Sus scrofa: one gene and its partner. The protein of the gene in region 2 interacts with the protein of the main gene of each other region in a pairwise test. Links are inferred from orthologs where the notes say so. Each region holds a gene or a part of one and is shown on either strand. Other genes may lie near its edges. The genes, in order: KRT20 and NUP62.

Evidence for each region.
Region 1: the proteins of NUP62 (region 2) and KRT20 interact in binary tests that used the Homo sapiens proteins (3 or more experiments, as listed by UniProt). The two-hybrid records come from large-scale screens. The link is inferred for Sus scrofa from reciprocal best matches to the Homo sapiens genes NUP62 and KRT20.

What each region holds. Positions count from the first base shown.
Region 1 is NC_010454.4:21,583,045-21,599,312, reverse strand, and holds KRT20 (keratin, type I cytoskeletal 20), read right to left. Parts: upstream 14,631-16,268; 5' UTR 14,445-14,630; coding exon 14,037-14,444; intron 11,858-14,036; coding exon 11,775-11,857; intron 10,144-11,774; coding exon 9,987-10,143; intron 9,655-9,986; coding exon 9,493-9,654; intron 9,307-9,492; coding exon 9,181-9,306; intron 8,240-9,180; coding exon 8,019-8,239; intron 7,323-8,018; coding exon 7,285-7,322; intron 6,620-7,284; coding exon 6,522-6,619; 3' UTR 5,730-6,521; downstream 1-5,729. UniProt on the Homo sapiens protein: Plays a significant role in maintaining keratin filament organization in intestinal epithelia. When phosphorylated, plays a role in the secretion of mucin in the small intestine.
Region 2 is NC_010448.4:54,916,316-54,932,883, reverse strand, and holds the end of NUP62 (nuclear pore glycoprotein p62), read left to right. Parts: intron 1-9,592; 5' UTR 9,593-9,656; coding exon 9,657-10,293; intron 10,294-10,337; coding exon 10,338-11,257; downstream 11,258-16,568. UniProt on the Homo sapiens protein: Essential component of the nuclear pore complex. The N-terminal is probably involved in nucleocytoplasmic transport.

The DNA of each region.
Region 1 (16,268 bases), on a different chromosome or scaffold from region 2:
GAAGTTCCTGTGCTAGGGGGTCAAATCGGAGCTGCAGCTGCTGGCCTACACCACAGCCACAGCCACACTGAATCTGAGCCTCATCTGCCATCTACACTGCCCCTTGCTGCAACGCCGGATCCTTAACCCACTCACTGAGTGAGGCCAGGGATCAAACCCACATCCTCACGGACACTATGTCAAGTTCGTAGTCCGCTGAGCCAGGATGAGAACTCCATAGGGAAGTGTATTTTTAGTTATACTCTCTGTAACCACATCTCCATAGATCTTATAAGCCCTGGTTAAACTTGCACTTCCCACACAGGACCCTGACATTATGGCTGTAAATTATTAGTCACTCACAAGCGACCTCCCCCTAAGACCAAGAGTAACTCTGTTTTCTTGCCATAGAAATGAAACCAGACAGTTCATTGCTTACAGAATCAGAAGGAATGTGCCAGACTCAGAATTGTAACTTAGTGATATGGCATAATATGGGAATAAGATAAAATTTTGAACTTGGAACCAACTTTGTGCTTAAATGTATACTTTCCAACTCCGATGCCTATGTGTAAATGTTACGTAATTTTGTTCAATATCCACTCATTTATATTTCTATACATATTGCATATTATCCTAGACTGTAAGCTTCTCAAGTCAGGGCTATATCCACTTCATTCTTTTTTATGCTGAATTTTAGCCTCGTGCTTGGCTAGACTTCATTCCTGCACCCTTGGAGTTATTTCGCGCGAAAGAACTTAATCCTTAATATATGTGCATGTGTCATTTAAAATTCATTTCATGTGAAAATGACTTTGCTCTCATTTACTGGTATGCTTTGACCAAGATGTATTCTGAAGCCAATTATAAATAGGGAGCAATTTCAGAAGTTGAAAAGAGAGAGATTTCTTCTTCAATGGCTTTTTGGGGGTGGGGTGGGGGAGGGAGGGCTAAGTTAAATAATTAAGCCTCCGTTTTAGAGTTTTTAGACGTGAAAGTAACTTTCTTTGACTGCTATAAAAAAAAAAAAAAAAGGAGGAGGGAATGTATGAAATGGAAAGAAAACTTGTGCTCATTGGCAAAATGGTTACGTAAGTTGAGGCACAGAGAACAGTGGCTGCAACCAGGGTGACCTGTTCAAAAGAATTAAATCTTCCGTTTTCATAGTGTTTAGGGACTATTTAAAATAAGTACTATGATTTACATGGCGTTTGTAAATCTTTAGATTTTCGTTCAGTAAAATGTGTGCTCATCTTCTCATGTCAGATTTGTTGGTTTCCTGGTCTTTGCAGGATTTTCCTTTTGAGTTCTTTCTTTCTCTCTCTCTCTTTTTTTTTCTTTTCCCCTGTAGTTTTTTAGGGCTGCACCCACAGCACATGGAGGTTCCCAGGCTAGGGCTTGAATCAGAGCTGTAGCTGCTGGCCTACACCACAGCCATAGCAATGCAGGATCTGAGCCACGTCTGCCACCTTCACCACAGCTCATGGCAACACTGGATCCTTAACCCACTGAGCGAGGCCAGGGATGGAACCTGTGTCCTCAGGGATGCTAGTCAGGTTTGTTAACCACTGAGCCATGATGGGAACTCCCTGCGTTCTTTCTCTTAAAGACAGATCTTTTGTGTTGTGCAATTTGCTGATCACTTGGTCTAAAATACCCTTCTTTTTTGCTTGGAATAACCTTTTTTTTAAATTTTATTTTTATTTTCCCACTGTACAGCAAGGGGGTCAGGTTATCCTTAGATGTATACATTGCAGTTACAGTTTTTTCCCCCACCCTTTCTTCTGTTGCGACATGAGTATCTAGACATAGTTCTCAATGCTATTCAGCAGGATCTCCTTGTAAATCTATTCTAGGTTGTGTCTGATAAGCCCAGGCTCCCGATCCCTCCCACTCCCTCCCCCTCCCATCAGGCAACCACAAGTCTCTTCTCCAAGTCCATGATTTTCTTTTCTGAGGAGATGTTCATTTGTGCTGGATATTAGATTCCAGTTATAAGTGATATCATATGGTATTTGTCTTTGTCTTTCTGGCTCATTTCACTCAGTATGAGATTCTCTAGTTCCATCCATGTTGCTGCAAATGGCATGATGTCATCCTTTTTTATGGCTGAGTAGTATTCCATTGTGTATATATACCACATCTTCCGAATCCAGTGATGAGTGAGTAGAAGAATATTGGGTCACTGACATTTTATGCCGTGCTTTTGAGGGAGGCAAGTGTTCCGTGATTAAAGCACTGACACCTTTATGCCGTGTGTTCTGAGATGAGGATGAACAAGGACCCTGGGAGTCACGCTGGAGGAGGATTTCGGGATTTCAGAGCTCGGGGGTTCTCAAAGGCAGGGGGGGCTTGTAGGTGGTGAGAGAGAGGAGGAGGAAGAGGAAGCAAGACCCTGATAAGGTGAATTTTGGAAGTGAGTCTAGGAGAGAGAAGGGAAATTAAAAAATTGAAATTAGAAATTCCTGTCTTGGTTCAGCAGAAGTGAATCTGACTAGCATCTATGAGGATGCAGGTTCGATCCCCGGTCTCGCTCAGTGGGTTAAGGATCCGGCAGTGCCATGAGCTGTGGTGTAGCTCACAGGCATGGCTTGGGATTCCGAGTTGCTGTGGCTGTGGTGTAGGCCAGCAGCTGTGGCTACAATTCGACCCTCCGTGTGCCTGGAGTACAGCCCTAAAAAGACAGAAAAAAAGAAAGAAAGAAAGAAAGAAAGGAAGGAAGGAAGGAAGGAAAGAAAGAAAGAAAGAAAGAAAGAAAGAAAGGAAGGAAGGAAGGAAGGAAGGAAGGAAGGAAGGAAGGAAAGAAAGAAAGAAAGAAAGAAAGAAAGAAAGAAAGAAAGAAATCACTAGCCAATGCCTTAAGTTAGAATTGTTATTTGAGGGTATAATTGGGTACCTGAGACTGCCCCCAAGTGAGTAAGAGTGAGAGCAGAGGGTGCCACTGGTCAAAGTTTAATTTTAATTTAATTTAATTTTAAGAAATTTTATGGCTGCACCCATGGCATGTGGAAGTTCCCAGTCCAGGGACTGAATCCGAGATGCAGCTGTGACCTACACCACAGCAGTTGCAGCAACTTGGGATCCTTTAACCCACTGGGAATTCCAGGTTTTGATTTTATATCATTTCATGTCATTCTTCTTTTTAGATGGCTCTATGTAGAAGTAATTCCCAAAGCCCAAGAAAAATATTTCTGTCCATCTTAGCTTTCCCTACAGAAGTTCTCTGCATTTGAAAGCTCCACTCTGCACTGATGGTTTCATAAAAAGCAATGTAACATCTTTTTTTTTTTTTTTTTTTTTTTTTTTTTTTTTTTTTTTGCCTTTTCTAGGGCCGCTTCTGCAGCATATGGAGGTTCCCAGGCTAGGGGTCTAATCAGAGCTGTAGCTGCCAGCCTATGCCAGAGCCACAGCAATGCGGGATCCGAGCCGTGTCTGCGACCTACAGCACAGCTCATGGCAATGCCGGATCCTTATCCCACTGAGCAAGGCCAAGGATGGAACCCAAAACCTCATGGTTCCTAGTTGGATTCGTTAACCACTGCGCCACGACGGGAACTCCCAATGTAACAACTTGATGATGATTCTAATGTGTGATAAAGTGATCTATATCTAATGCTCACTAGAATACAATTTATTTATTTATTTATTTATTTATTTATTTTTAGGGCCATTCCTGTGGCATATGGAGGTTCCCAGGCTAGGGGTCCAATTGGAGCTACAGCTGCCGGCCTACACTACAGCCACAGCAACACCAGATCCGAGCCACATCTGCAACCTACACTATAGATCACAGCAATGCTGGATCGTTAACCCACTGAGTGAGGCCAGGGATCGAACCTGAATCTCATGGTTCCTAGTCAGATTTGTTTCCGCTGTGCCACGACGGGAACTCCTAGAATACAATTTGAATATTAAAATAGTTCTCATTTTCCCTCATATATAAAATGGAGATACTATAAGGTCATACCACATTGAAATTGATTTTTTTTTTTTTTTTGGTCTTTTTGCCTTTTCTAGGGCCGCACCCATGGCATATGGAGGTTCCCAGGCTAGGGGTCCAATTGGAGCTATAGCCGCTGGCCTACGCCAGAGCCACAGCAATGCAGGATCTGAGCCAAGTCTGCAACCTACACCACAGCTCAGGGCAACGCTGGATCCTTAACCCACTGAGCAAGGGCAGGGATCGAGCCTGCAACCTCATGGTTCCTAGTTGGATTCGTTAACCACTGAGCCACGACGGGAACTCTGAAATTGCTTTTTTTTTGAAGGTCAAAAATGATCACCTATTGGCAAGTTCGTATGATTCCACCTGATACCCTCATCCTCATGGATAGAAGATATCAATTTAATTGTGAAGATTAAATGAGAAATGCATATAAGATGCTGGCATACTGTTTAGCACATAGTAAATGCCCAATGAATGGTAGATATTACTATTCTTACAGTTTTTTTTTTTTTTTTTTTTGTCTTTTTGTTGTTGTTGTTGTTGTTGCTGCTATTTCTTGGGCCGCTCCCGCGGCATATGGAGGTTCCCAGGCTAGGGGTTGAATCGGAGCTGCAGCCACCGGCCTACACCAGAGCCACAGCAACGCGGGATCCGAGCCGCGTCTGCAACCTACACCACAGCTCACGCAACGCCGGATCATTAACCCACTGAGCAAGGGCAGGGACTGAACCCGCAACCTCATGGTTCCTAGTTGGATTCGTTAACCACTGCGCCATGACGGGAACTCCCAGATATTACTATTCTTAAGTGAATTATTATATTCCGTATAGCAATCACACTCAAAATCCTCTTTGTTTACAAACTTAAATATTAAAATTTAAATCTACGAGTTCCTGTCCTGGGTCAGTGGTTGATGAATCTGACTAGCATCCATGAGGACACAGGTTTGATCCCTGACCTTGCTCAGTGGGTTAAGGATCCGGCATTGCCGTGAGCTGTGGTGTAGGTCACAGATGCGGCTCGGATCTGAAGTTGCACAGCTCTAATTTGACCCCTAGCCTGGGAATCTTCATATGCTGTGGTGTAGCCCTAAAAAGCAAAATAAATAAATAAATCTGAGCTATTCATTTATTAGAATGCAATGATAAGAGGGCAAATTAATTTTTTCCTGTAAACACCTACAGGGCAGTTATTGCTCACTAAAATGCAAACTTAATGGAATTTAGAATTTAGAATGCTCCCTAGAATACAACATGTGACCTTTTGTGTCTGGTTTCTTTCATTTAGCATCGTGTTTTTAAGGTTCATCCATGTGGTGGCATGTATCAGTACTTCATCCCTTTTTCTGGGTTGGCTGCGGGGGGAATTTCCTGGGCCAGGGATCGAACCTGCTCCATAGCAGTGACTCTGGCCGCTGCAGTGACAATGCTGGATTCTTAACCTGCTGTGCCACAAGGGAACTCCCACAGAACTATTCTGTTGTAGGGATACATCACATTTTGTTTATCCGTTCATCAGTTGATGGGCATTTGAGCTGTTTCCACTTGGGGCTATTATGAGTCATGCTGCTACCAACATTTGTATACAAAAGAGCACATGGTGTGATTCCATATGCGTGAAATGTCCAGATTAGGTAAATCCATTAGAGAGAGGAAGTGGATTAGTGGTTGTTAGGGGCTGGGGGTGGGAGGAGAGAATAGGGGCTGACTGCTAATGGAGCTTTTTTTGGGGGGGTGATGAAAATGCTTTAAAGTTAGTGATGATGGTTGCAAAATCTGATGAACACACCAAAGACCACTGAATCGCATACTTTACAAGGACGAATTTTATGGTGCGTGAATTACATTTCATTAGAGCCGTTACTAAAAAAATAGTGAGAAGCATTTCATAACATACATTCACCATGTAAAGAAAGAGAGTGCCCGCCGACCCAATTTATGCGATTTATGCAGTTAAAGGAGAAGCGTTCTGCCTTGCGAAGGGTTTCACTAATTTTGCTTTTAATCGACTCCTATTTCAAGCATAATATATTTCATTCTGATTTCTGCTCAGCACTGATGACTGGAATGGGCTCTCAAATTATTCAGAGCCGAGTTGAGTTTTAAAGGCAGCGGAGACAATGCAAATATGAGTTAAAGCCAGCAGAATTATATCGTGATTGAAAATTCAATGAAATTAACCAAGAAATTAACTCAGGAATCCTGAAACGAGATTTTTGCAATTCAGAAACAGGAGGAATTAGAGAGACATTCATTTGCTCTTTGCATAGACTCCTCTGCTCTGTAAGGTTTAGTGTAATTGAAATGGGCTGTAATTTCCAGGAACATTAGGAATTGATGTTAGGTCATCTATAGCTTGTGGTTAATGCGTTTTGTGATCAAACGGGCAGTAATGATATTTTAAATAGCCCAGTGCTCACTGGATTTCATTTTTGCAGGCAATTTGCAGCTTCTGTGACTAAAACATTTATATTCAATTACAGAGACTGGTAAATGGGCTCCCCCCCCCCAATAACTATGAAGCATTAATGGTGCTTTCTGATGCCGCTTTCTTATATTTCTTCCAAACCTCAGCAGCAGCATCTTCTGACAGCCATTTATATACTTTCTTCCACTTCTTTGACTTCAGATGACACAACCTTGCCGTCCACTACTTCTTGCACAACCGTCTTAATCTTTCTGGTTTTCTTTATATCTGAATTTAGATTTAAATATAAAATGTTAATTCAGACACATGACTCTGCTCATTTATAATCGTCATCTTTAAATTATTATTTTGTATGCATTTCCTTCCTGCAGAGAAAAATCTCGCCCATTCTCTTTCTCAAATCATCTTAACTCCATTTTACAAATAACTGCAGAAAAAGTGCCACTCCTCCCAAATTTACAATTCTCTACTCTCCCACCTTTCAAGAAATTTACAGTACTGAATTAAGTAAAATGCCCTTTTTTTTTTTTTTTTTGGCCGTGCCCAGGGCATGTAGAAGTTCCCACGCCAAGGACTGAACCTGCGCCACCGCAGTGACCAAGCTGCTGCAGTGACAACGCCAGATCCTTAATCCGCTACACTATTAGAGACCTCCTAAAAAGCACATTTTTTTATCTTATTTTTCCTTCTCAGCATCTCAGGATTCTGTAAAGCATGGGCCAAGAAAATCACTCTGTCTGTCGTAAGGCACATGAGAAGTCTCCCCTTTGGAGGGTTCTTGATGTGAGGTGCTTGATTTTCAGAATCCATTGGGTAATAGCTCTTCACTTGAGAATGATCGCTTTACTTTTCACCAGTGGCAAGAAAAAAGGGGGAAACTACTGAGTGAGAATTCAGTCTTATAGGAACTGTGTGAAGATGGGAACACTTACCTTTCTCCTCCAGGGTGCTTAACTGATACTCTGTAGTTCTGTTTTTGTTAAGAAAAAGAAACAGGCAAAAAGTGTTATTGACATTTTGAAAACGAAACTCTCTTTTGCCTTTTTTGTTTCAAAATAAAGTCTGAGTAGTGTGTGTTGTCCTGCTCTTCCAACCCCCTCCCCCTCACTGTTACAGTACTGGTTGCTTCAAACCTGAGCGCCTTCCTTTTTAATTCTAAATATAAGTAGCTTCAAAACTGGCCTGTATAACATGTACCAGAAGCTTTTGTAATTCAAATGACAGAATTACAATGGGCATTTACATCTTGGGTTCCTCTGTTGCTTTCGTCAGATGTGTTTGATGACAGACAAGTTGTTGCTGCAACACTGATGATTTGCAAACCTAGGCCTGTTTAACTCATGACCTCGAAGTGAGAACTCTAAAAAGTTACAGTGCTTTCAATGATGTCTTAATCGTAAAAATGAATACAATGGGTATCGCTTGCCTAATCCTCCTCTGCCTCAGTCCTATGATATGACCTCAAGTAGGAAGGATGTATTTGGTGCTTGGAGGGTGTGGGTACTTGTTAGTATATTTCTGTTTTGGTGGTGATGGTGGCGGCAGTGGGGTGTGTGTAACTGCTTTTGTGCCAGGGATGGCATTGGCGCTGGGGAATGAATGATGGTGTTTAACGGATGGACATGTATAGCCACTGCCACACACCCCTTGATTCCGAGAGCCTTACTTGTAGTCCTCTCCTTCTAGAAGGCGACGGTAGGTAGCGATTTCCTGCTCAAGCCGGGTCTTTATGTCAAGGAGAATATTATACTCATTGATCTGGTGTTCTGTATCGGTCCGAATCTGCACCAGCTGGTCTTCCAGGGAGTTTATCTGTGTCTGGAGTTTGGCCAGATAGGCACCATAACGAGCTTTGGTTTCCTCCAGCGTATGCTCCAAAGCTGCTTTCTAGGAGCACAAGAAAAAAGTGGACGTTTTTTCGTTGAGGACCTAATGTAAGAAGTGGCTCGATTTTAATTTCTTTTGAGAAGAATTTCTGCAGCTAGTCATTGTGGGCATCCTGCGTATTGCCAGCTTGATCTCCTGCTCTTTCCATCTAGGCTGGGATCACCGGCTCTTGGGCTTTTTTGTTTGTTTGTTTTCAGTTTTGCACTCACTGTCCTCTTACTCTGGTCCAGTGTATTGGTGTTCTCGGTATTTGCGTCCCCTCCCTGTGATTTGGGGCGCCTTTCCTTTTGGAGGATTGGCCTTGCAACTCTGGCTAATGAAATGCAAGTGAACCGGACACATGCCTTTTCTGCAGAGATAGCTTTAAGAGCTGTCATGTGGTCGGGCCACTGCCCTTTGCTTTCTGGCCCAACACTGGCATGCTCCAGGTCGTGCCTACTCCGTCAGACTTAGCCCGGAGTGGAAATATCACGGAGCAAAGCTGTGGAGACCCCGTGATGCATGTAGTGTTGTCGCTGGAAGCCACTGTGATTTGGGGGTTGTTACGATAGCATAATTCATCATGAGCTGACTGAGGTGCTTAGCCTGGAATGTTGTGACCCCTGCCCTCCTATTAAAAATCCGTCTCACCTTTTCGGGTCTACTTTACATGCCACTTTCCCAGTGGCGTCTTCCAGCTGGACTTTTTTCCCTGCAGACCCTGGCAGTGACTTGCCCTTAGCCTTGACTTCTCTCTGTTTTTTTTTTTTTTTTTTTTTTTTATTTTTTTATTCATATAAACATTTGTCATTTTTTTTTAAATTAGACATCAGTTGTTTGGTCCGTTCTCCTACCTGCTCTGCAAGGGGAGTGGTTATTTCTTCTAGGTCTTTGCATTTTCAGGGTTCCTAATACTTAGGGCCCCACACCGCACTGAGAGTGGAAGGTTAGCTGTGCTTTACCGTACTGAGATGGGACTGGAGTTCTATCTCCAGGCTCTGGTAGGTGCGTCTGTGATTCTTTACTTCATCTTTGGCTCCTTTTAACTCTTCCGTGCTCACTGTGACTTCTTGTTGCAGAGTTTCAATCTGAAGTGCCAAAAATGAAAAAAAAAAATAATAGTAAGGAAGAGAAGAAAAAAAAAGAAAGGAAGGAAGGGTGGGGGGTGGGGAGAGGAAGGGAAGAAGGGAGGGAAGGAGGGGGGAGATGGGCGTTACTTCCTTTTGGAGGACGGCATCTACATATTTGCTTACCCTTTAGGATTATTCTCTTACCTGCAACTGAAACTGTTCTTTGGCCTTCTGAAGGTTCTCCTGGGCCATGGCTTCGTATTTCTGCCTCATCTCACTCATGATGGCGCTGAGGTTCAGGGACGGAGCAGCATCCACCTCTACATTTACGTTATTGCCCAGATGAGCGCGTAGACTCTGCACTTCCTACGAGAGTGAAAGTCCTGCTCAATTAGCGTCTGAAGCACATTCTCAGGTGAGGCTGTGCCCAAGAGACATAGTCGTCTTCCGGCTTCTTTCATTGGGGATGCGTAATAGGAAAGAACAACTTAGATAGGGCTTACTGTGGTCCAGATACCGCTCTAAGTCATTTAACCCGGACAGCAGCCTTCAGAAAAGGCGTCAGGGCTCCCGTCATTCTCGTCCTCTTCCTCACTGTCACCAGCATCACCAGGTCTTCCTCTTCCCCCTCCTCCCCCTCTTTATTATTATTAGAGCCATGATATTATTTCCAATACCACCTCTGAATCTTTTCTCACCTCCTCATGTTCCTTTTGGAGGAGAGCCAGGTCTTTATTCAGCTCTTCAATCTGAATCTCCAGGTCTGTCTTCGTTAGGGTTAGGTCATCAAAGACATTGTGCAGGCCTTGGAGGTCAGCCTCCACGGCTAGGCGGATCCCCCGCTCAGTCTCATATCTGTGAAGTAATTAGTATGGAGAGGTAATTGAGTCCTTCTGAAGCCATTGTAGAAGAGAATCTCACAGGAGCGAGGTCGACTTTGTATACCACATCACACTGTGTATATCAGTGTCTCCACACAGAGTGTTATGTGGCATAACACGAGATCAAGTTCAGTACATTGTTGTGGCTCCCTTTATACCGTCTGAACATATTCTCGAGAGCCTTGGAATCAGATCATTTGCTTCATAATATAGTCTCTGTGATTTGGAGTGATTGGTTAAAAAAAAGCAACCTGAAATTACTTTTAAAAGTTCCTAAACTCGGAGTTCCCGTCGTGGCACAGTGGTTAACGAATCCGACTAGGAACCATGAGGTTGTGGGTTCGACCCCTGGCCTTGCTCAGTGGGTTAAGGATCCCGTGTTGCTGTGAGCTGTGGTGTGGGTTGCAGATGCGGCTCGGATCCTGTGTTGCTGTGGCTCTGGTGTAGGCCGGTGGCAACAGCTCTGATTCAACCCCTGGCCTGGGAACCTCCATATGCCGCGGGAGCGGCCCTAGAAATAGCAAAAAGACCAAAAAAAAAAAAAAAAAAAAGTTCCTAAACTCTAGATTTTATATATATATATATATATATTTAATCAAAAGATACCTCACTCTAATTACCGTATTAACAAAGTGCTCTCATTATTGGTGTTACATAATGGTTAGTTAGATTTACTTAATGAATACACACCATCAACTTGTTTTTGTTACTTGGTAAACCGATACATACAAAGATCATGCATTCTCTTCTGCAATCACATATTCTCATTTTTATTAAAGTAAACTTTAAAACATGGCAATGCAATGAGATACCCAGAGGCCGAATGGAGTTAATGAGCTTTTACTGCTTTAATTTTCAGCTCTGTTTTGTTTCTTTCTTTTTGATCCCTTGTACCGGTGTTAAAATGTTATCCTTCTTAACCTCAAAAGACTCTTTAGTGCCAATGCCTCCTACAAATTCAGAATGAGGAAGCCCCAGTATAGAAGCAGGTATGAGGAGCAGCTCTGATCACATGTAGTGACTGCGAGAAAGGGAACACAGTTTTCACTGCTTTATTTAACCTAGTTCTTTGGTTGGTCAGACCTTACCGTAAAACACTGGCAAACTAGAAAGCATCAAGAATCATCCCAGAACTTGGATCAAACCCTTGCAGGCACTGGAAGGAACGTGGATGACTCACTTGGAGAATCACCAAGTGTAGATAAATAGCTCTTTTTTGATAATAGAAGTGCACGTAGGCAGAAGGGAAGTTGTAAAGTGCCTTGCTCTTACTCCAAAGGGCAGAATTAAGTTCAGTGGGTGAAGAGGTAGATGCCAGGTTATTAAAAAAGAAGGTTCTGGCAACCAGGGCTGACCAAGTTGAACAGTAGTATTTACTGGAGGTGTTCATTCCGAGGTTGGGCACCAGATGGTAGGACTGTGGGAGAGAGAAGTCCGGTCCTGATGCTGGACTAGACCACATAGCTTCTAACACCCTTAAAACCCCAAGGTCCTGAAACCAATCCGCAGTAGCTCCTTTGGCAGCAATAGTGTGGAAAGTGTGATAAAGGACCACCGAAAGCCTCTCCTTTCCAGGAGGTGTTACCATGGTGTCTGAGAACCTACTTGAGCCGGAAGTCCTCCGCAGCCAGCTTGGCATTATCGATTTGCAGAACACACCGAGCATTTTGCAGCTGAGCGTCTCTAATCTGGAAAACATGCAAGAGAGAACGATATTTTCAACTGGACAAGAGCCTAACGTGATTGAGTTTATCCTCGGCTACCACCCCTCTCATATCAAAGATGATATTCATCTCAAAGGCTTTTCTTTTTTTTTTTTTTTGTCCTTTGTCTTTTGTTGTTGTTGTTGTTGTTATTGTTGCTATTTCTTGGGCCGCTCCTGCGGCATATGGAGGTTCCCAGGCTAGGGGTTGAATCAGAGCTGTAGCCACCAGCCTACGCCAGAGCCACAGCAACGCGGGATCCGAGCCGCGTCTGCAACTGACACCACAGCTCACGGCAACGCCGGATCGTTAACCCACTGAGCAAGGCCAGGGGTCGAACCCGCAACCTCATGGTTCCTAGTCGGATTCGTTAACCACTGCGCCACGACGGGAACTCCTCAAAGGCTTTTCACATGAAAACAGAAAAGCGGCATATTGCGATGGGTCTTTCTCACACAAAGACTCATAAAATGCAACTTGAGTCCCAAGGGTTTGGCCAGCTTACGATTTTACAAACGGATGGTGTATTTCAACTCGAGCCATCAGACTTTATTGTGTGCCTTGCCTTTGATGTTGTTCCTGCTTAGAGTAGTCCTCTTAGCCCCTCTCGCTTGGTGAACTCCTCTTCCTCCACGTCTTAGCTTAGGCATCATTGCTTCAAGGCGGTCTGTCCTCAAAACAGCGCTGGATAACCTGCCTGCGCCTTCATTGCCCTACACTTCCCTCAGTGCCAGGATTTATCCATCCTTGGCATGCCCATTTCCCCCACATCACATCATCTCCACCGTCATATTCCTCAGTGCCCAGCTCCTAGTTAATATCTACTAAATATTGGCCAAATGAATGCACCCTTGCTATGTGGTAGGGTTTCGACTAGGCACTGGGGCTGTCAGGATGGATAAACCCCTGATCTTAAGGAGCAGTTACCTGATACTGAGTCCTCTAAAGTGGACCAGAAATCTGCTTGTAAAAGATGCTACAATGGCAGGTCTCTTTCAATAGCCCTAGTCCCGAAAAGCACTGCCTTCCTTCACATCCTGGGTCTGCCCACCTAAATGGAACATTTGCCTGTGTGTTTGGGATGTCCAAGGTAACTTCAGACACGTGAATCATGAGGGGGTAGGGCGAATGGCTGGCTGATTTTGAACGTTTTCTAGCGGGAGCCCAAGGAGAATGACATGTTGGTGGAAGGGACAATTTAAACACCTTTGTCTCCCATCCCCATCCTCCTGAAACCCCGAAATAACTTCTTATGAATCTGAATCGAATTGCGCTGATGTCTAACACAACATAAGAGAAAGAGACATGTTGGCAAGCGGCCCTTGCTCTCAAGAAATAGGAGTGTTAAAATAGAAATGAAAACGAAAGGGAGGGATTAGATAAGGTTAGCAAACAGAGTAAGTGTTCTGTATCATATTTGAGATCTTCAACTAGGAGCAAAGTCTTTTATTCCATAAAATTGATAAAACGGAGAACTCCACCTTTTCTTGTATGATATGGGAGCAGGTATGATTGCAATAAATTTGAATTGCGGGCAATAAAATACTTTATGACTGTAGAACTGGTTTCTGCTGGGGGATGATCAGATTATTAAACATTTAAAAGACATTTTAAAATCCAGGTATCATTAAGACCTTGGCCCCTGCCCCCATTTCCACCCTGAATCACTTTATCATTGAAATCTCTGAACGAATATTCTACTGCTTGAATTACAACATTTACATAAATGAAAGGAGGAAAATCTCTCAATTGACCGGGGTTTTAAAAGTTGATAGAAATTAGGTGAAAAACTATGAAAGGTTTATTGCTACATAAAAAATTGTTAGCTCTTCCCAGAAAAATATGTTTACTACCTGCTTAGCCCAGACTTGGTAGACTATGTGTGACCAAAATTCAGATTGTAAGACTGGAGGATAAAATTTTAATATTTTATGTGTAATTGGATGGTGATGATTTTTTAAATGAATGGTTTACAGTCATCCTATCATGTAGTCAGGTACTGCAGTACGCAGGGTAGATAATGGGATATATACCATTTTGAGCGACGCAACATTTAAACCTAATTTGCTTTATAGCGTTTGGACCCACCTAACGTATTTGCCTTCTTGACATACATATCATGCTGCTGACCAATGGAGTGGAAAGCCCAGACATCACGCCTCACCTGATTTCGAAGATCTTGGATTTGTTGGAGATACGCGCTGTGGTCCCGACTGATGCCAGGCGTGTTGCTTTCATACCACTGCTTGATCTGCAGTTCAAATTTGGAGTTGGACTGCTCCAGGGACCGCACTTTTTCTAGGTAGCTTGCGAGGCGGTCATTGAGGTTCTTCATGGTCATCTTCTCATTGCCAACCCACAGGTTCCCTTCAGCTTGGTCGCTCCCATAGCTCACCACGCGTCTAGAAGTTGAGATGCGGGTGCCATGGCCTCCAGCACCCCCATACACGCTGGGTGCGGCTCCGAGGTACTGGGTGCCCCCCTTCCTGTATATGGAGCTGCTTATGCTGAGTGCAGGGCCCTGGGAGGAAGAGCTCAGGGTTCTGCGGAAGCTTTTCTGATTGAAATCCATTGGGGATTCTAGGAGGGAGCAGCTGTAGCTTCAGGATGGATGGAGCAGAGTCTGTCTCTTGGTCCTGGATGAGCTGACCTTTTATAGAGTTCACAGGAAAGAAACGCCTCCTGTGCTGACATCTCCCTTTACGATCGATCGACACCGCAGTCCACCTTGCCTTGCTTTTTTTTTCCTCTCCTTTGTGCAGCAGTCTGTTTAATTCTGTTCCAGAAATTACCACTAGAGGCCTTTCTAAGAGGCTTTACTCAGAGGTGATTTCTTTTTTAAACAGGGGAGACAAAAGGAAACAGGAAGGTGTATTCTTTTATCCTCTGCACCTGCTTTGGCCCTTTTTATTTTCCATCCTAATATACACATAAAGAGTATTTGCAGTCTCTATGAATAATTTACCTGAAAAGACAGATGTGGTTATATAATAGTAACTCACACTGGTGATAAAAAGCAATGCTTAAAATTTTTTTAAAAATTCAGTACATTTTAAAACTCTCAGTACATTTCAATTATACAATACCGTGTTGTCAGCTCTAGTCACCATGTTTTTTTTTGTTTGTTTGTTTGTTTTTTTAGGGTCACACCTGTGGCATATGGAGGTTCCCAGGCTAGGGGTCTAGTTGGAGCTACAGCTGCCGGCCTACGCCACAGCCACAGCAACATGGGATCCGAGCCATGTCTTCAACCTACAGCTCATGGCAACACTGGATCCTTAACCCACTGAGCAAGGCTTCATCGGATTCATTTCCACTGCACCACAATAAGAACTGCTTTTCTTTTTCTTTCTTTCTTTGTTTTTTTTTTTTTTTTTGTAGACACCACATTTGAAATGAGATCTTCAGAACTTACTCATCTTATAGCTGAAAGTTTGTACCCTTTTACCAACCTCTCTCCATATCCCTCACACCCAGCCCCTGGCAACCACTTTTCTACTCTCTTTTCTATGAGTTTGACTTTTTTTTTCTTCTTCAATTTAAGATTCCACATAAAAGTGATGCTATGCAGTATTTGCCTTTCTCTGCCTTGGCTCTTTCGCTTAGCATAATGCTCTCGAGGTCTCTCTGTTGCTGCAGGTGGCAGAATATCTGTGTGTGTGTGTATATATATGTATATATATTCTTTATCTGTTCATCCGTTGATGGACATGTAGGTTGTTTCCATATCTTAGCTATTTATGAATAATGCTGCCATGAACATGGAAGGGCAGTTGTCTCTGAGACAGTGATTTCATCTCCTTTGGAAATATACCTGGAAGTGGAATTGCTGGATCATGGTGTTGTTCCATTTTTAATTTTTTGAGGGACCTCTGTATTGCTTTCCGTAATTGCTGTACCAGTTTACATTCCCACCAATAGTACACCAGTGTTCTCTTTACATCCTATTATCCCATCTTTTTATTTTTATTTATTAGTTATTTTTTTCTCTTTCGGCTGCTTGCATGGCATATGGAAGGTCCTGGGCCACGAATCAAATCCAAGCTGCCAAAGAGACAGTCTGGATCATTAACCCACTGTGCCACAGCGGGAACTCTGTTATCCCATCTTTTTGATGATAGCCATTCTAATAGGTGTGAGGTGCTATTTCATTATTTCATTCTTCCCCCCCCCCCCCCGCCACCGGGAGAAGGAATGATTTATTACCTGCAGCAAGTAAGGAGAACACTGGGCATCTTTCTCAAAGCAGCGTCTCTTCATTGTGGTTTTCATTTGCCTAAGAACAATGGTTTATATGTATTGATAAATCATTCTTTGGAATCTCTGGTTTATGCTTTTTTTTTGGCTAAGTTTATCCCATTTAAGATCATATTTTATAAGACTTTAAATACTTCAT
Region 2 (16,568 bases):
GGCAAAGGCAGCGGGAGGGGGCATGCGCAGCCGGGCAGAGTGCAGACGGCACTCCCCAAAGTGCGTTGACAGTCTCTGGAAAGAGGCACAAGGCACCCAAAAGCTTGTCCCCAGGGAAGGCAGGTGCCTGCGTGGGGGTGGGGGGACCACAGAGACCATGCATTCCCTCTGCAGCTTCTGAGCAGAGAACTGGGTGAACAAACTACTCATGAAAAGAACTTAATTTGGGAAGTGGCACACGTGAGACAGTGCCTCCTGGGCCGTCGGTATGCAGGGACATTTAGGGATCCGTTCATGTGACCAGGGCCTGGCAGTAGGACAGGCAGGGAGGCTTTCCATGGCCCTCCCCTTGAGGGACAGAAGGACAGACAGACGTGCCTCTTTGAACAGGTCTCAAGTGCATCATGCAGGTTCCCTACACCTGCGAGGGTGAGAGGCCCCGTCTTTAGACGAGAATCACAGGCAGCTTAAGCGGGGAGGGGGCCGTTGAAAACTGGCTTGTCTGGTCTCCTGCCCACCCTTGCTGTTGGGGACCTTGTGCTGTGGAGAGAGGCGACCTCTGGACAGAGGGGAGTGCCGAGTTTTCCCGGCCGCAGACTGGCTTAGAAAGGCACCCCTGCTCCTCCCTGAGGCTCCATTTCCCGCACCCGGGATTGACGGGACCCACCAGCCAAGAGAGCCGGGCAAAGTGGCCCTGGTCACTTGGCTCCTGCCAGGCCACTGCAGGCGTCTTGCCCGACCCCACCCCCAGCAACTTGAGTGAGTCCATCAAAACTGTACCTCCACTGGTGGCCCATCAGCACCCCCGTGGCTTCACACCACACACTGGTCCAGCCATTCGGGCTTCTCACTGCTCTGGGCCTGAAACGGTCGAGACTCGGCTACAGTCTGGTGAGCATACGGCTGACTGGTTGAGTTTCTTTTCTTTTTTTTTTTTTTTTTCTTGTGGCTGCATCCGTGGCATATGGAAGTTCCCAGGCCAGGGATTGAATTCGAGCAGCTGTGGCAACGCCAGATTCTTTAACCTACTGCGCCATGGCGGGAACTCCTGATTTTCATTTTTGAAGGGCAGTCTCTCTTGACTCATTTGTTTTCTTGGGCTTTAGAGGGATTTTCTTTTACTCAAGGGAGAGGGGGGATTCAATTCAAGAGAGATTTAAGAAGCAAGAGTTTGTGGGCTTGGGCTTGACCTTTGGTGAGACATCCCCGAGGAAGTGACTCGGGGCAGGGGGGTGCCCTGTCCTAACACAGCAGAGGTAGCAGCTGGGCTGGGCTGATGACCAGAAATAACGGTCTCCCAGTCTCTGATGTCCCCCTCGCTCTCGGCTCTCTCCTCCGCTCCTCTGGTCTCTCTGAGCCCACAGTCTCACTTCCTCCAAGTCTTATTATGTAGAAAGCTAATGCCGGGGCAAAGGGTGGTTGGCACAGAGCTGCCTTGGCACTGTCTGGGCTGGGTGTTGTCGGCAGCGCCATCAGGTGGCTGTGGGCAGAATGCCAGGAGCTTTGGCTCCCTTCACCTCCCAGAACTGGCATTAAGTTCACAATTTCTGGGCCCCAAGGATACCCCAGGCACTTAGCTAAGTGCTTGACAGGGATCAGACCATTTCACTTCACAGAGACCATATGATTCTGTGGCCATCATCAGCTTTTTTCAGATAGGAAACTGGGGCTCCGTGGGATCAGCCTGGAATGAAGATCCCACAGCCAGGAGTAGTGGAGCAGCGCTGGGCCATGTCCTGCCGGGTGACTGACACAAGGTCAGCCGAAGGCGCTGACCGCAGAGCTCCCATGGTGCATGTGCAAGTGCCTGGTGGGCTTGGGATGACAGCTGTGGGTCTGCCACCCTTCTCCTGGCCCCTCCGTGGACTAGACAGCCGAGTTTGTACTCCTGAGCTTCGTCAAGGAGCCCTCGGAGACACAGTCCTTTGGACTCGCTGCTGCTGCGCCAAATGAAAGAGAGTTTCTGTTTTGAAGGAAGGGGGTGGATATAGGGGACAGCAGCCATCTCAGCCCCAGTGGATGAGGCTTATTGTGAGCGGGTTGCTCGAGCTTCTGCGGTGGAAAGCTGCAGGGCCACGGCGGGGTCAGGAGGGAATCAGGGTCACGGCTTTGTCTCTGTCCAGGGGGTGGACCAGCTGGCAGTCAGTCTGCGACCTGGCCTTCAACACCACTCCCCGTAGCCTGCTGCTCCAGCCGCGGCTGTACCGGAGCTGGCCTCTGTCACTCCTCCTGGAAGGCTCGATTCTGACCTCTCCCCCTCCCCTGCCCCAGAAAGAGCCAGACCCCCTTCCTGGGACTAGTGTTCATTGCTCTGTGACCTTGGAGAAGTCAAATTGCTTCTCTGAGTCTGTTTCCCATCCAGCAAGGGTGCAGTGCTGCTACCCAATGCTCCTGGCCTGGGTGCCGCTTGCATAGGTGGACTCAGTAAAGGGTGGTTATTGTTACTTCTCAGTGCACCCGCCACTCACCATTACTGGGCACCTGCTGCATGCTGGGCACTGCTCTCAGTGCACGAAACGGAGCAATCCTGCCTTGCGGGCTCATCACCACCGAGAGCCCTCCTTGATGCTCCCAGGCCATCTTGTCCCTCCTTTGGTCCTAGGTGGCCTGCCCTTGCTGGGTGTCACACGCGTTCACGCCCATGAGATGGCCCCTATGGCAGGGAGTGAACAGGTTTTCAGAATTACAGCTCACAGTTCTTTTCCCCTCTAGCCCCTCAGCTGCCGGAGCCCAGCGGTTGCCACAGCCCCATGCCCTCGGCCCTTGCACAGAGGCAGGCCTGCCCCGTCGCCCCTCAGTCCAGCTCTGGGATATGTTGCCCATCCCTTTATCTGCGCTTAGTTCCATCTTGTTCTTTCTTTGTCCCTTCCCCTGGTATTAGGTTCTTATTGCTGTTGGAACAAGTTACCGCAAACCTAGTGGCTTAAAACAGCACAGACGTTTCCTCTCTCAGCTCTGGAGGGCAGACGTCTGAGCGGAGCGGAGCGCGTGGCGCTGTGCTCCTCTGGAGACCCAGGGAGAGGCTGCTTTTGGCCTTTCCGGCTCCTCCCAGGCCACCTGCTTTCCTTGGCTCGTGGCCCCTCCCTCCGTCTTCAGAGTAGCCTTTCCTGCAACGGTCCCAGTCCCGCTGGCTCTGCCGTCTGCCTCCTTGAGGACGTTTTAAAGCCCACACACAGATCATCCGAGACCATCTCCCCGTCACCTCTGTCAAGTCCCTTTTTGCCGAGTGAGGTCGCATGTTCACAAGTTACAGGATTGGGGTATGGACATGTCTAGGGCTGTTCTTCTGTCCACACACCACACCCCTCCCCCCATATCCCCCTTAATCTTTCCATTCCTCTGTTCCAAGGCTGAGGTCCCCCCGTATTCATCCCCAGCAAACGCCCCTGCTCTTGCTATCTGGAGGTGGGGGTGGGCGTGAGTCCCGGGACTTTGCTCTGGCTGCTCCCTCTGGTCTCAGATGCTCTTCCCCTGGGCTGTCTTGTTTAATGCCCACACCCTGCACCGGCGCCCCCACTGCCCCTGCCCCACTCCGTCTTTTCTCCTTGACGCTGAGCCTCTTCTAACACGTAATTTCTCTGTGACGTCTTTTCCTGCCTCTCTCCCCTGTGGGGATGTGAGAGCTGGGGCTCGTTGGTCCCATCGGTGATAAAAAGATGCACAAAAATACCTGTTGTGGGAGTTCCCTGGTAGCTCAGTGGGTTAAGGATCAAGTGCTATCATTGTTGTGGTGTGAGTTTGATCCCTGGCCTGAGAACTTGCTCTTGCTTGGGCATGGACAAAAAAGACCCCCAAAACCTGTTGTATGACTGACCATTGTACTGCAGAGAATTGGGCCTATGTGACCACCCCGCCTTGTGGGGACAGGCCTTTTTTCCTCTCTGTTGTCATCACTACGCACCGGGCAGGGCTGAGTAATTGCTGGATTGAATAAAGTAGATAAAGTTGGGTTTGGAGCGGCACAAGAACTGCAGACAGGGCTGAGGTTGGTGGACTCGTGAGGCTCGAGGTGACAGTGGAGAACCTGGGTCCTCAAAGCCAGGGACAGGAGTTCCCGTCGTGGCTCAGTGGTTAGCAAATCGAACTAGTATCCATGAGGCCTTGGGTTCGATCCCTGGCCTTGCTTAGTGGAGTGGGTTAAGGATCCGGCGTTGCCGTGAACCGTGGTGTAGGTTTCAGACACGACTCGGATCTGGCGTGGCTGTGGCTGTGGCTGGCAGGTGCAGCTTCAGTTCGACCCCTAGCCTGGGAACTTCCGTATGCTGCAGGTGTGGCCCTAAAAAGACCAAAAAAAAAAGGCCAGGGACACGGTGTGTGTCTATAGGTGGGAATCCCAGACGCCCCCCTGGGCTGCGAAGGCAGCTGGAGGTGGTTTGAAAAACAAGGGCAAGTGCATGGCTGCCTGCTCTGCCGGTAACTCCCTCAGCGCCCTCAGGCAGCCACTTCTCCCTCCGGGCCTCATCCCCTGTGGCCGACGGAGCACACCCTCAGCTTTTTCCAGGAAGAGCACCGCCTGCCCCGCTTTTGTACCCCCCCCCCCCCCCCCGCCAGCACCGCCAGCTCCTCTGTGGGGAAGCTCACCGCTTTGGTAAAAGTGGACGAGCCCTCACGGAGGGCTTCCTCCTCTCCCCCCAGTTCACAGTGGTGTGCCTGTGTTTAGCCACCTTTGTGAGAAACTCTGGAAGTTCTGGTTGGTTAACCAGGACAGGCCCTGCAGAACCATCAGTTTGTCTCATTTCATTGCAGATGTAGACATTTCCTGACCTGGGGCTGTCTTCGCTGTCCCTCGAGTCCTGGCTCAGGTCTTGGGCTCAGGGCCTGGACCGTGTCCCAGCCTCCACCCCTCCAGCCTATCCCCCACACACAGATCTGGCCATGTTAGGCCTTCCCAGAAGCTTCCTTAAAGTTTCTCCACGGCACCCTCAGGATAAAGTCTGACCGTGATTGTGGCATCTCTGGCTCTGCCAGCGTCTCTCATCATGTCACGTGGCAGCATACAGGCATGTCAGGCATCCCTGAGACCACCCTCAGGTTCCATGATTTGCTAGGACTCACAGCTCAGCAGAGTTGTGGTTTATTACAGCAGAAAACAAAAAGATTGAAATCAGCAAAGGTAAAAGGGACACAGGGCAGAGTCCAGGAGACACGAGGTCACAGCTTCCGGTCGTCCTCTCCCAGTGGGGTCACACAGCACATGCGCAGAATGTTGCCCACCAAGGAAGCCTTGCCATCCAGGCTCCGAGCACCTGTCACTGACCTTTGTTACTCAGTCCCCAGCCCCCCACAGATCATGCTGATACCCTGAGACACCCGCCCCCTTAAAGACGTGCTGTTAGGCAGGATGCTCCAAGGACTTAAGGTTCCCTCCCAGGAGCTGGCAGGGGCCAGTCGTTCTTTGGGATGTGCGGGGTTCGGACCACCTGGGCCTGCCTGTCAGCCCTTCCCTGCTCCCCCTCAAGCCGGGCCTCCTCCCCATTTCCAGGCGGAGGCCAGGAGTTCAGTAACCTCCCTGGACCTCACTCCCCTCGTTTGTCAGATGGACCTGTTTTCGGGCACAAGTGAGCAGGGGCCCGCAGTGTTCCGGGCTGGGCCAGGGCGCCCTCACCATCGTTCGTGGGTCCCTGGCATCCGAGCTGTTGGAAATGGATGACCGAACCGTTAAACCAGGCAGGCCCCCACAGAAGATTGTTTTCCTTGTGGTTTCTTAATGGTATAAAAAGCAAAGAACTTTCTATAAATGCTCTTCTGAAAACTTGTAGCTGCAGCTTATTAATAATAGCGAAAGTTCTCTCGGGTGAGGTCTTGAGAACTGAGACGCGGAGTTGTAGCCATTCTGGCTGCTTCTACTAACAGCGGACCCGGCTTGAGGGGCAGGGGTGGGGTGGGGCGTCTCCAGCCAGGAGGGGTCTGGCGCAGGGCCAGGTGCCTGTGGTCTTCAGAGTGGCGGCCACCACCTTTTTCTGAGGCCCACAGAAGGGCTTTGCAGAGAGGCCAAGGCCGGGTTCCCGTCCCCGGAGAGACGGAAGTTGGTGATATGAGTGCCCGTGCGCGTCTGGAGTGTGGGTCCTGGAGGTGCCGGCCTGGAGGGCGCCAGTGGAGATCTGGCCGAGACCAGCAGGCTGGGGTGGTCCGGGCTCCTCTCCCCAGAAGCACGGGCACAAGGCCAGAGCTCTGCTAGGAAGGCAGAGGGAAGGGCAGCTACGCAGGCAGGTTTCCTCTGCCTCTGGCTGGGAGAGGGTTCCCTGTGGATCCCGAGAGAAAGGAAGAACCAGGCTGGGAGAGGGAGCAGGACCTGTGGGCACCTTCTCTGGGCCAGGCCCGCGGCCCCTCAGTCGAAACCTCGGGTGATTCTCCCGGGTGCGAGGGGCTGTCCTCATCACAGGCAGGGAAGCAGAGACGGAGCAGGGGCAGCCACCTGCCCCGGGACCCACAGCTAGTGAGCGGCAGGAGCAGAGTTCAAGCCCGGGTCTTTCCTTTATATCTGGAGACCAATTTCGTGCCTGCAAACGGAGCCACAGTGCCGCTGTCTTAAGATGAAGGGAGAATAAGCACACGAGGGTGGGGGCAAAGTGGGCTGCCGCTGGCTGTGCCCCTGGAGCAGCACTGTTGGCCCTGTGACCTGCTTGATGGAGCAGAAGTAGAGTGGGTTTGCAGGGCAAAGGCAGGGGTCCAGGGACCCACTGTGGGTGGTATCGCAGGTGACTTGGTCAGAGCCCCTCCCCTTGCACCTGTGTGCCGGGGCCATCACCCCGACCTCATCACAGGGCGGTTGTGAGGAGGGGTCCATAGCTCAGTGCTGGGCACACAGCTATCGGGCCAGGGTGGGTGACCTAAAAACCACCTTGGTCTTGACACTGGAGTGGGCACTTCTCATGCAGCCCAAGGCACCCTGAGCAGTGACAGTGACCATGAGTTCGTGTTTAATTTGAGGTCAGCCACGACCCCCGGGTCTTTTCATGAGAACTTCATAGTTGGGTTCCCAGCCCCTCCTGGGCTTCCTTCTTTGCTCACCACTTCCAGAGGCTGCCCAGAGGGACAGTGCTGCGCGTCCCAGCATGAGGTGCCAGTGGTCAGAGCACTGGCACTCCCCTGACCTTGGCCAAGCTGCAGCTGAATCTCAGAGCCCTAGGGTGTCGGGAGGCCTCCTCTCTCATCCCCAGGCACTTTCTACTCCCCTGCTATATTTGCTTGGCTGCTCTCCTGGGTGACCACAGACTTGGCAGCAGAAACACTACAGATCATTCTCTTTCAGATGAGATAAGATCAGTCTAACAGTCTCACTGGGCTGAAATCAGGTGTCAAAGGGATGGTTCCTTCTGGAGACTCCAGGGGAGATTCCGGTACCTTGCCTTTTCCAGGTTTTAGAGGCCGCCTGCACTCACCGACTCTTCTCTCATCGAATCTCTCTCTGCCTCCATTTTATAAGGACACCCATGGTGACATTTAGGGCCCACCATTTAATCCAGGATAATTGCCTCATTTCAAGATCCTTAATTTAATCACACCTGAACATTCCTTCTGCCACACACTGTGGTGTAGTACAGGTTCCAGGGAGTGGGACACGGGCATCCTTGGAGGCCCACGTCTTTGGCACAGTCTTATATCCATGTGCCAGCTTCCCCCGCTGCCTTTGGCCCAACCCGTGGTGTCTGGTCCTTCCCCATGCCCGAGTCACCTTTGGGGCAAGACGAGGTCTGATTGAGAGCCAGCCTTGGGGAGGCTTGTTTAATTCAGTAACTCTATCTGTCCCACTTGAACTGTGATTTTTAGAACCTGACTGCATGGAGTTCCCTTCAGGGTGCAGCAGAAATGAATCCAGCTAATATTACCACGGGATGCGGGTTCTGATCCCTGGCCTCGCTCAGTGGGTCAGGGATCTGGTGTGACCGTGAGCTGTGGTGTAGGCTGGCAGCTTTAGCTCTGATTTGACCCCTAGCCTGGGAACTTCCATATGCTGCGGTGTGCCCCCCCCCCCCAAAAAAAGAAGGAACCTGGCTGCACAAGTTTCCTGGTTCTGCAGAGTAAATTTATACCACGTGATTTAGTTATTTTTGAAAACCTTGCTTATCATTACGTTTCTTTATTGTACAGACAGAACAAGCGTTTGGAATGACTGCCAGTTACCAAGCAGCTGAGCCACGTGTAGTCCCACACCCCAGAGACAGCCCCTGACCACATCTCGATATATTTCCTTCTGACCTGCTTTGCTCTGAGTTGTTCTCTTTTTCCACAGCCGAGATTGCGCTGCACTGCTAAATTTGCCTGCCGCGTCCCTTTGTTGTCATTTCTCGCATTTCTTGTGCATAGTTGAGGCCACATCAGTGGGTGTGATGCAGATCTTCCCTTGTGGCTGATACCTCACTGGTCCCCTCAGTGGGTGCAGAGAAATGCCCTGCCTGTCGTCTGGTGCCTGTGCTGGGCAAGGAGATGCGTGGGTGGGGCCAGCAGGGTCCCGAGAAGACCCTCGGCCTGGGTCCGCTCCTGGCAGGTCACCGCAGCCCTCTGAGCCCGTTTCCTCATCTTGGACACGGGGACCTGACCTTTGCCTCCAGACCGCGGTGGGAGGGCGCATCCACGAGCTGCCTGCCTGACGTCAGTGCTAGCGTGGGCCCCTTTGCCTAAAAACATCTCTGTCTAGCTCACCCTCTGATCCTTTCCTCTCCAAATCACCTTGGACATTCCAGCTAACACAAGGCTCTGCTCAGGGCTTTTCAGTTAGAGATTATGGAAATCCCGTCAGCTTAAACCCAACGGGGGCTGGGCTGGCCCACAGAGAGCTTCTGCTAAGATGGGGTGAGGCTGGTGAGCAGGACTGGATTCTTCCACAGTCGCTCTCTCCCCATCTCCTCTCTGTGCTCTCTCGGGTGTCGGCCTCTTTCTCCCACTGCCAGCGGCTGAGAAGATGGGGGTGCCCTGCAGGTGCAGGAGGCCGCCTCTCCCGCACCTGGAGAGAAACCTCTCAACTGCCTGGCATCTCAATGTCCTCTTGACCTGGGGTGCCAAGCGCTCTGATTGAGCACCCAGGTCTCCTGCTCGCCCCTGAATTAGAAGGAGGGTGGGGGTACACACCTACCCTCCTAAACAGTGTGGGTGCACAAGGGGGGGCCTTGGGCACCTGAGGCCTTGCTACACGGCTTTGCTTCCCAGGGCCATCTCTCTGTGAGATCCAGAATCAGTCTACATCCCGCCCGCTTGCAGTCAGCAGAGGGCTCTGCAGCGTGGGTCCCAAAGGCATTTGTGTGTCTCTGGTCCCGCTTGCCAGAGCGCCTCCAGTCTGACCGCCTCCTTGGGCTGCAGTCGGTTGGGCTTCCCCCCCTCACAGCGGGACTCCAGCTGACCAGGCTGTGCTGGGCCCAAGTCCATCCTGCTCCTTGCGCCTAATCCGCCGGGGTAGCGGCTGTGTGTCCCGGTCCTTCCTTCCTAGCTGAGCAGGGCCTGCTTAGGTTTGGTGGCGGGAAGAGCAAGGGTGGCCGCTTATCGTAATTATCGAGCCCTGCCACCCTGCAGATGGGCTCCATCGTGCCACTGAGGCTGCCTTTCCAAAACTGCCATCTGATCGTGTCACTTCCTCTGCTTTAACCATCTTTCCAAGGTTGCAGACACCGGTGGAATTGCTTTGGGAGCCGGAGTAGCTGCTGCCACCAGAGTCTGGAGCCATGAGCAGGTTTAATTTTGGAGGCACGGGGGCCCCCACAGGCGGGTTTACATTCGGCGCTGCAAAGACAGCAACGACCACACCTGCTGCGTTTTCTTTCTCTACATCTGGCACCGGAGGGTTTAATTTTGGGACCCCTTCCCAGCCGGCCTCGAGCACCCCTTCCACCAGCCTGTTCTCACTCACCACCCAGGCTTCAGCGACAGCGCAGGCCCCGGGATTCAGTTTTGGAACCACAACTCCTGCCGCAGGAGGAACTGGGTTTTCCTTAGGCCTGAGCACCCCAAAGCTAAACCTGAGCAGCAGCGCAGCTGCCACCCCAGCCCCAGCACAGCCCAGCGGCTTCGGGCTGGGCGGCAGCACGCTCTCCAATGCCGTCTCGAGCGCCGTCACATCCGCCCAGGGCTCCACGCCCAGCGGCTTTGTGTTTGGCTCCACCACCACCTCTGCTGCTCCGTCTACCACGCCCGGGGGCTTCTCGTTCACAAGTGGAAGCACGTCCCAGACTGGGACCTCCAGCTTCAACATCGGCTCCGTGGGGAGTTCGGCCCAACCCACAGCCCTTCCCGGGCTGCCCTTCACTCCGGCCACTCCAGTAGCCACTGGGGCGGGGGCCACACAGCCGGCTGCCCCCACACCCACCACGCCGCCGCCGCCGCCGCCACCACCACCACCACCACCACCACCACCACCACCACCACCACTGGGCCCACGCTCTTTGCCTCACTGGCAACCACTCCAGCCTCATCTACCACCTCGGGGCTCTCCCTTTGTGCCCCAGCAACCACAGCCGGAACGCCCGGAACAGGGATGCTGGGCTTTAGCCTGAAGCCCCCCGGAGCAGCTTCCACCACCTCTGCAGCCACGACCACCACCGCCGCCACCGCCACCACCACAGGCTTGGCCTTGAATCTCAAACCACTGGCACCAGCTGCCATCCCCAGCAACACAGCGGCCTCCGGGACCGCTGCAGCCGGCCCCAGTGCGGCCACCGGCGTATCCGCCAACCCCGCGATGACCTACGCCCAACTGGAGAGTCTGATCAACAAGTGGAGCCTGGAGCTGGAGGACCAGGAGCGGCACTTCCTGCAGCAGGCCACGCAGGTCAACGCCTGGGACCGCACGCTGATCGAGAACGGGGAGAAGATCACCACCCTCCACCGCGAGGTCGAGAAGGTGAAGCTGGACCAGAAGAGGCTGGACCAGGAGCTCGACTTCATCCTGTCTCAGCAGAAGGAGCTGGAGGACCTGCTGAGCCCGCTGGAGGAGTCGGTCAAGGAGCAGAGCGGGACAGTGTACCTGCAGCACGCGGATGAGGAGCGAGAGAAGACCTACAAGCTGGCCGAGAACATCGACGCGCAGCTCAAGCGCATGGCCCAGGACCTTAAGGACATCATTGAGCACCTGAACACGTCGGGGGGCCCCGCCGACACCAGCGACCCACTGCAGCAGATCTGCAAGATCCTCAATGCGCACATGGACTCCCTGCAGTGGATCGACCAGAACTCGGCCCTGCTGCAGAGGAAGGTGGAGGAGGTGACCAAGGTGTGCGAGGGCCGGCGCAAGGAGCAGGAGCGCAGCCTCCGCATCACCTTCGACTAAGCCCAGGGCGTCACCCGGCAGCGCGCATGTGCCGTGTGGAACGTGCAGTCACTGTCTTGGTTCTGGTTGCAACGAAATACTTGGTTGGTTGGTTGCTTGCTTCTTTCTTTCTTTCCTTCAGATAGCTGTGCTGTTGAGAGCACTGTCCCATGGTTTGACTTTTCGTCTTAGGGGGTAGCAAGTATTCTTAGCACTCCGATCCAGGCAGCAGCTTAGTAGGTGTGGCGTCTGTGTGTTCTGGACCCTCTCCGCCTGCCGCCCCCCCCCCACCTCCAAGTGGTGGAGAAGCGCTGAGCCACCTCAGAAGCCCGGCTCCCAGCCAGGGGGCCCAGCACACAGTTGTGGGTGCAGGGAGAAAAGACTGAGGTGCAGGAGTCTCCGTCCTGGAGGAGCCAGCAATCGAGGGTAAATGTAGTCAGTACAAAGAAGTGACTTAGGAATGGAACGGACAGTGGGAGGTAGAATTTCAAAGGCGGAAAGATAGGTCTGCTGAGGGGCTGGAATGAAGATGTCTCATCTTGCCTGGCTGACCCCTCCTCCAGGAAGCCCTCTCTGCCACCCCGAGCCTGAGTCAGGTGGCCGTCCTGTGAGCCCCACAACGCGGAGCTAGTGAGTACCCAGTTCACGACCCCTTTGGTAACGCTCGCCATGTTGCCTTGTGCCCCTGGCTTGCTTCTCTGCCTCACCCTTAGCTTGCGCGTCCCTGTGGGCAGGGACTATTTCTTGTTGCCTTTGTGTCCTCAGTGCAATCCTTGTCACACTTGTCAATTGTATTAACAGTGGACCTGAAACCTGGCATAAAACATTAGTCCACAGAGTGCCCGTTGAAAGGGCCAGGGTGCCAGAGGTGGCCCCTGACTTGGCTCTGAACCTCTCAACGCCAGAGCAGACCCGGTCAGTTCGTGAGATGCACGGTGTTCGGAAGACAGGAGCCAGACCACCTGCATCCCAGGTGGCTTTTGTATTTGTCTCTACACTCTTTTGCATCCTCTGAAATACCCATGGCTGTATGTTGCTTTTCTTCTAAAGAAAATAAAAGTTACCGTGGAACCCGAAATGCTGCTGTTAATGTTGGCACCTTAGAAGGAGAGGGTTGAAAACAGAGCAGGTTCAAGTTCAAGTCAGATGCCATTTGTCTGAAACTTAGAAGCAAGCAGAACCAGAGCATTGGCGAGGCATGCCCACGCCTAGGCAGAGATGTTCACACGTCTGGTGCTGATGCAAGAGAGGAGCACACGGGGGCACCAGTTGTAGCTGGGTTGTATCTTCCGGCATACAAGCGTCAGGTCGCCATCCCCAAGGCGTGTCATTGGCAGCATTCCTGCCTTTGTTACCTCAGGCTGCCTGGGGGGTTCTGGCCATGCCTCAACCGTGGGAAACAGGTAAAGCTGGGGGGGCAGCCGCCTTGTCTCGAGTGATTTCCAGACACCAGCCTGACGCGCTGCCTCGGCCCCTGGCCCCCGCAGCTGCGAGTGACGCCGAGCACCTGGATCTGGTTCCTGGTGCGGAGCAGAAAATATGCCCAGTTTTTCCCCTCCAAAGGCTCCGCCTCCTGCCACAGTGGCCCCTTGTGCAGTCTGTGAGCCATGACCTCATCCAGGACCCATATCTGACCCCTCGCCTGAGGGGAGGAGAAATGGGGATGCCTCGAAAATCAGAAGTAGTATTTTTACCTACATGTATTCACTCTACACCCATCTTTGGAGCACCTGCTACATACCAAGTCCTGATCTGGTATTGGGGTTTTGAAGATGAAACCCGATTTACCTATGAGGTCCTTGGCAGGGGCCACACAATCATGGTAAGAAAAAAAAAATGATTGAACTTGCATTTGCCATGTGTATAATGTACCTATTATTTGGCATATTAAAATTAATGAAGCTTAATGGCTTTCTGATAGTTGTATTTTTTTGGTAAAAACAAAATGAAGTTGGAGTTCCCTTGTAGCACGTTGAGTTAAGGATCCGGCATTGTCGATGCTGCAACTCAGGTTGCCACTGTGCCTTGGGTGGTTAGGTCCCTGGCCCAGGAACTTCTGCATTCCTGGGAGGTCAGGGAGGGGGGCCCCAAGATTGCAACAGGCTCAGCAGCTGGCTGGATGCTGACTTCATTGTAATTGCAGTTTCCCTTTCCAGGAATAAAACAGCTAATGTTTCTTTGCCAGTCCAGACACATAGCCTCTCCTTAAGTTCCTCTTCATTAATTAACATGAAGACAACAAACGTGGTGACTAAAGTTGGAGTCAAAGGCTTTTAAAGGTGAATCTCCTCAGTAAACTGTTTCCTACATTTCTTCTCCCTCTTCAGGGAAGAGAGTGGCCGTTGGATTTACGATGATGGCCTTGCTTTCATCTCAAAGACACCCTCAAACTCCCTCCCTCATGGCCCAGCCCCTTTCCCCAGGTTGCTGCCCTGGCCTCCTAGGCACTACAGGGCATCAAGGGTCAGATGTTTGAAACAGCCAGCATTTCCGGAGCGAGCGCAACCTTGATCTCCAAAGGGAAGTGGTTGAAACAGATGATTCCCTAGTGGGAGCACTGAGGTGCTGGTAAATGTCAGCGCCCCCAGGGGGAGAGGAGCCCTCATGGGCCACATGTGCCAATTCCCATGGTGTAAATTCTCCCACCAGGACTGATTTCAAGCCACCCGGTGACTGAACACGAACTTGGGAAATTGCCATCCCACGTAGGTAAAATTAATTCACCAACGTGTGTGTGCGTGCACGTGTGCATATATTTAATAGTAACAATGTAATCAAATAATTGATGAGATTTGAGTATTTGTTTTTAATAAAAGTAATCATAGGAGTTCCTGTCACGGCTCAGTGGAAACAAATCTGACTAGTATCCATGAGGACACAGATTCAATCCCTGGCCTCACTCAGTGGGTTAAGGATCCAGTGTTGCCGTGCGCTGTGGTGTAGGTGGCAGACCTAGCTTGGATCCTGTGTTACTGTGGCTGTGGTATAGGCTGGCAGCTGCCGCTGATTCAACCCCTAGCCTAGGAACCTCCATATGCCACAGATGCGGCCCTGAAAAAACAAATTAAAAAATAAGTAAAATAAAATTAATTACAAATATTGCAATTTTTAAGTAACAGCTGGCAAAGCAAAACCAAAAAGAGGTCTGAAAATTAAAGTCAGCTCTTGTGAAATAGTATGAGCCACCTTCGGCACACCACTGCTCCCAAGGTTTGCAGTCAACCTCAAAATTGCCTGGGTGCTTTAACCTCTGTCCCCAGGAGTTCCTATTGTAGTTCAGCAGGTTAAGGACCCCATGTCTCTTTGAGGATCCAAGTTTGATCACCAGCCTTGCTCAGTGAGGTAAGGATCCAGTGCTGCCGTGGCTGTAGCATAGGCCAGCAGCTGTAGTTCCAATTCAACCCCTGCCCGAGGAACGTGCAGGATGGCCCTTAAAAAGGGGGGAGGGGGGAGTCCCTGTCTTAGCTCAGTGGTTAATAAACCTGACGAGTATCCAGGAGGATGAGGGTTCAATTTCTGGCCTTGCTCAGTGGGTTAAGGATCTGCCGTTGCCGTGAACTGTAGAGGTCACAGATGCAGCTTTGATCTGGCGTGTCTGTGGCTGTGGCACAGGCCAGCAGCTGCAGCTCCCAATTCCACCCCTAGCCTGGGAACCTCTATATGCCTCAGGTCCGGCCCTAAAGAGACAAAAAAAGGTGGGGGGGGGGAACCTTCTCAGGAACAAAGTCCTTCACTCTCAGAAGTCAGGTCTGCCCATGAATACTAGCCAGCCCCCAGCCAGACTTAACTGTCCAGAGCTGCCCCTGGGCCTGTCCCATAACCCTCACACACCTTGGCACTGATGACTTGCCATACCAGTGACTCCTGGGCACCTGCCCACGCCTCAACTCCAAACACCATCCTGCCTCAGCCCCATGACTTCCAGAGATTTCCTCAAGGCAGAGACCAGACCTGCTGTGCTGCTATGCTCGGTTCAGGCCTAGCCTGGGGCAGGGCAGTCCCATCAGACCCCTCCTGGTCCTAAGGACAGAGACTCCCAGATCCACTGAACTGAAAATGGCACTTCTTTACAGTGTTACTTAGATGCAATGCAGACTCTTTGTTGATTCAAACTGTTTTAAAAAAGGTTTTGAGGAGTTCCCATCGTGGCACAGTGGTTAATGGATCCGACTAGGAACGGTGAATTTGCAGGTTCAATCCTTGGCCTTGCTCAGTGGGTTAAGGATCCGGTGTTGCCATGAGCTGTGGTGTAGGTCACAGACATGGCTTGGATCCTGCGTTGCTGTGGCTCTGGCGTAGGCTGGCAGCTGTAGCTCCGATTAGACCCCTAGCCTGGGAACCTCCATATGCCGTAGGAGCAGCCCTAGAAAAGGCAAAAAAAAAAAAAAAAAAGGTTTTGAGGAGTTCCCATCATAGCGCAGCGGAAACAGATCCAACTAGGAACCATGAGGTTGCAGGTTTGATCCCTGGCCTCACTCAGTGGGTTAAGGATCCGGCACTGCCATGAGCTGTGGTGTAGGTCACAGACACGGCTCAGATCCCAAGTTACTGTGGCTCTGGCGTGGGCCGGCAGCTGCAGCTCCAATTAGAGCACTAGCCTGGGAACCTCCATATGTCTTGGGTGCAGCCCTAAAAAGCACACGCCCGCACACAAAGTTTTGAGACAGTGAAATGCAAGCATTGACTTACCGCCAAGTTTAAATGTGATAACGGTATAGAGTTTTTGAAACAGCAAAATAAGTTATTTTAGAGCAGAGGTTGGCAAATTATGGCCCCACTTCCTATTTTGTTAAGTAAAGTTTTGTTGGAACACAGCCGGTTCATTTACATGCTGTGACCTCTTCGAGGGCAGGGTTGAGTAGGCAAGGTGGAGACCATGTGGCCCACAAAGCCTCATATTTATAGAGAAAGTTTGCCAACCTCTTCTTACAGAAATATCCTTGCGTATTTTACCTACAAAATAATAATCTGTCTAGGGTTTGCTTTGAAATAACCCAATGGGGAGTTCCCGTTGTGGCTTGGCAGGTTAAGAACCCCACATAGTGTCTGTGAGGATGCGGGTAGGTTGAGGAGCTGGCATTGCTGCAAGCTGCAGTATAGGTCGGAGATGACCACTCAGATCCAGTGTCGCCATGGCTGTGGCGCAGGCCGGCAGCTGCAGCTCGGATTTGATCCCTACCTAGCCTGGGACCTTCCATGTGCCAAGGGTGCAGCCCTAAAACAAACTCTGGGAGGAGTTCTCTTGCAGTGCATCAGGTTAAGGGTCTGGCGTTGTCCCTATAGCAGCTCCGGTCACTGCTGTAGTGCAGGTTCAGTCCCTGGCCTGGGAACT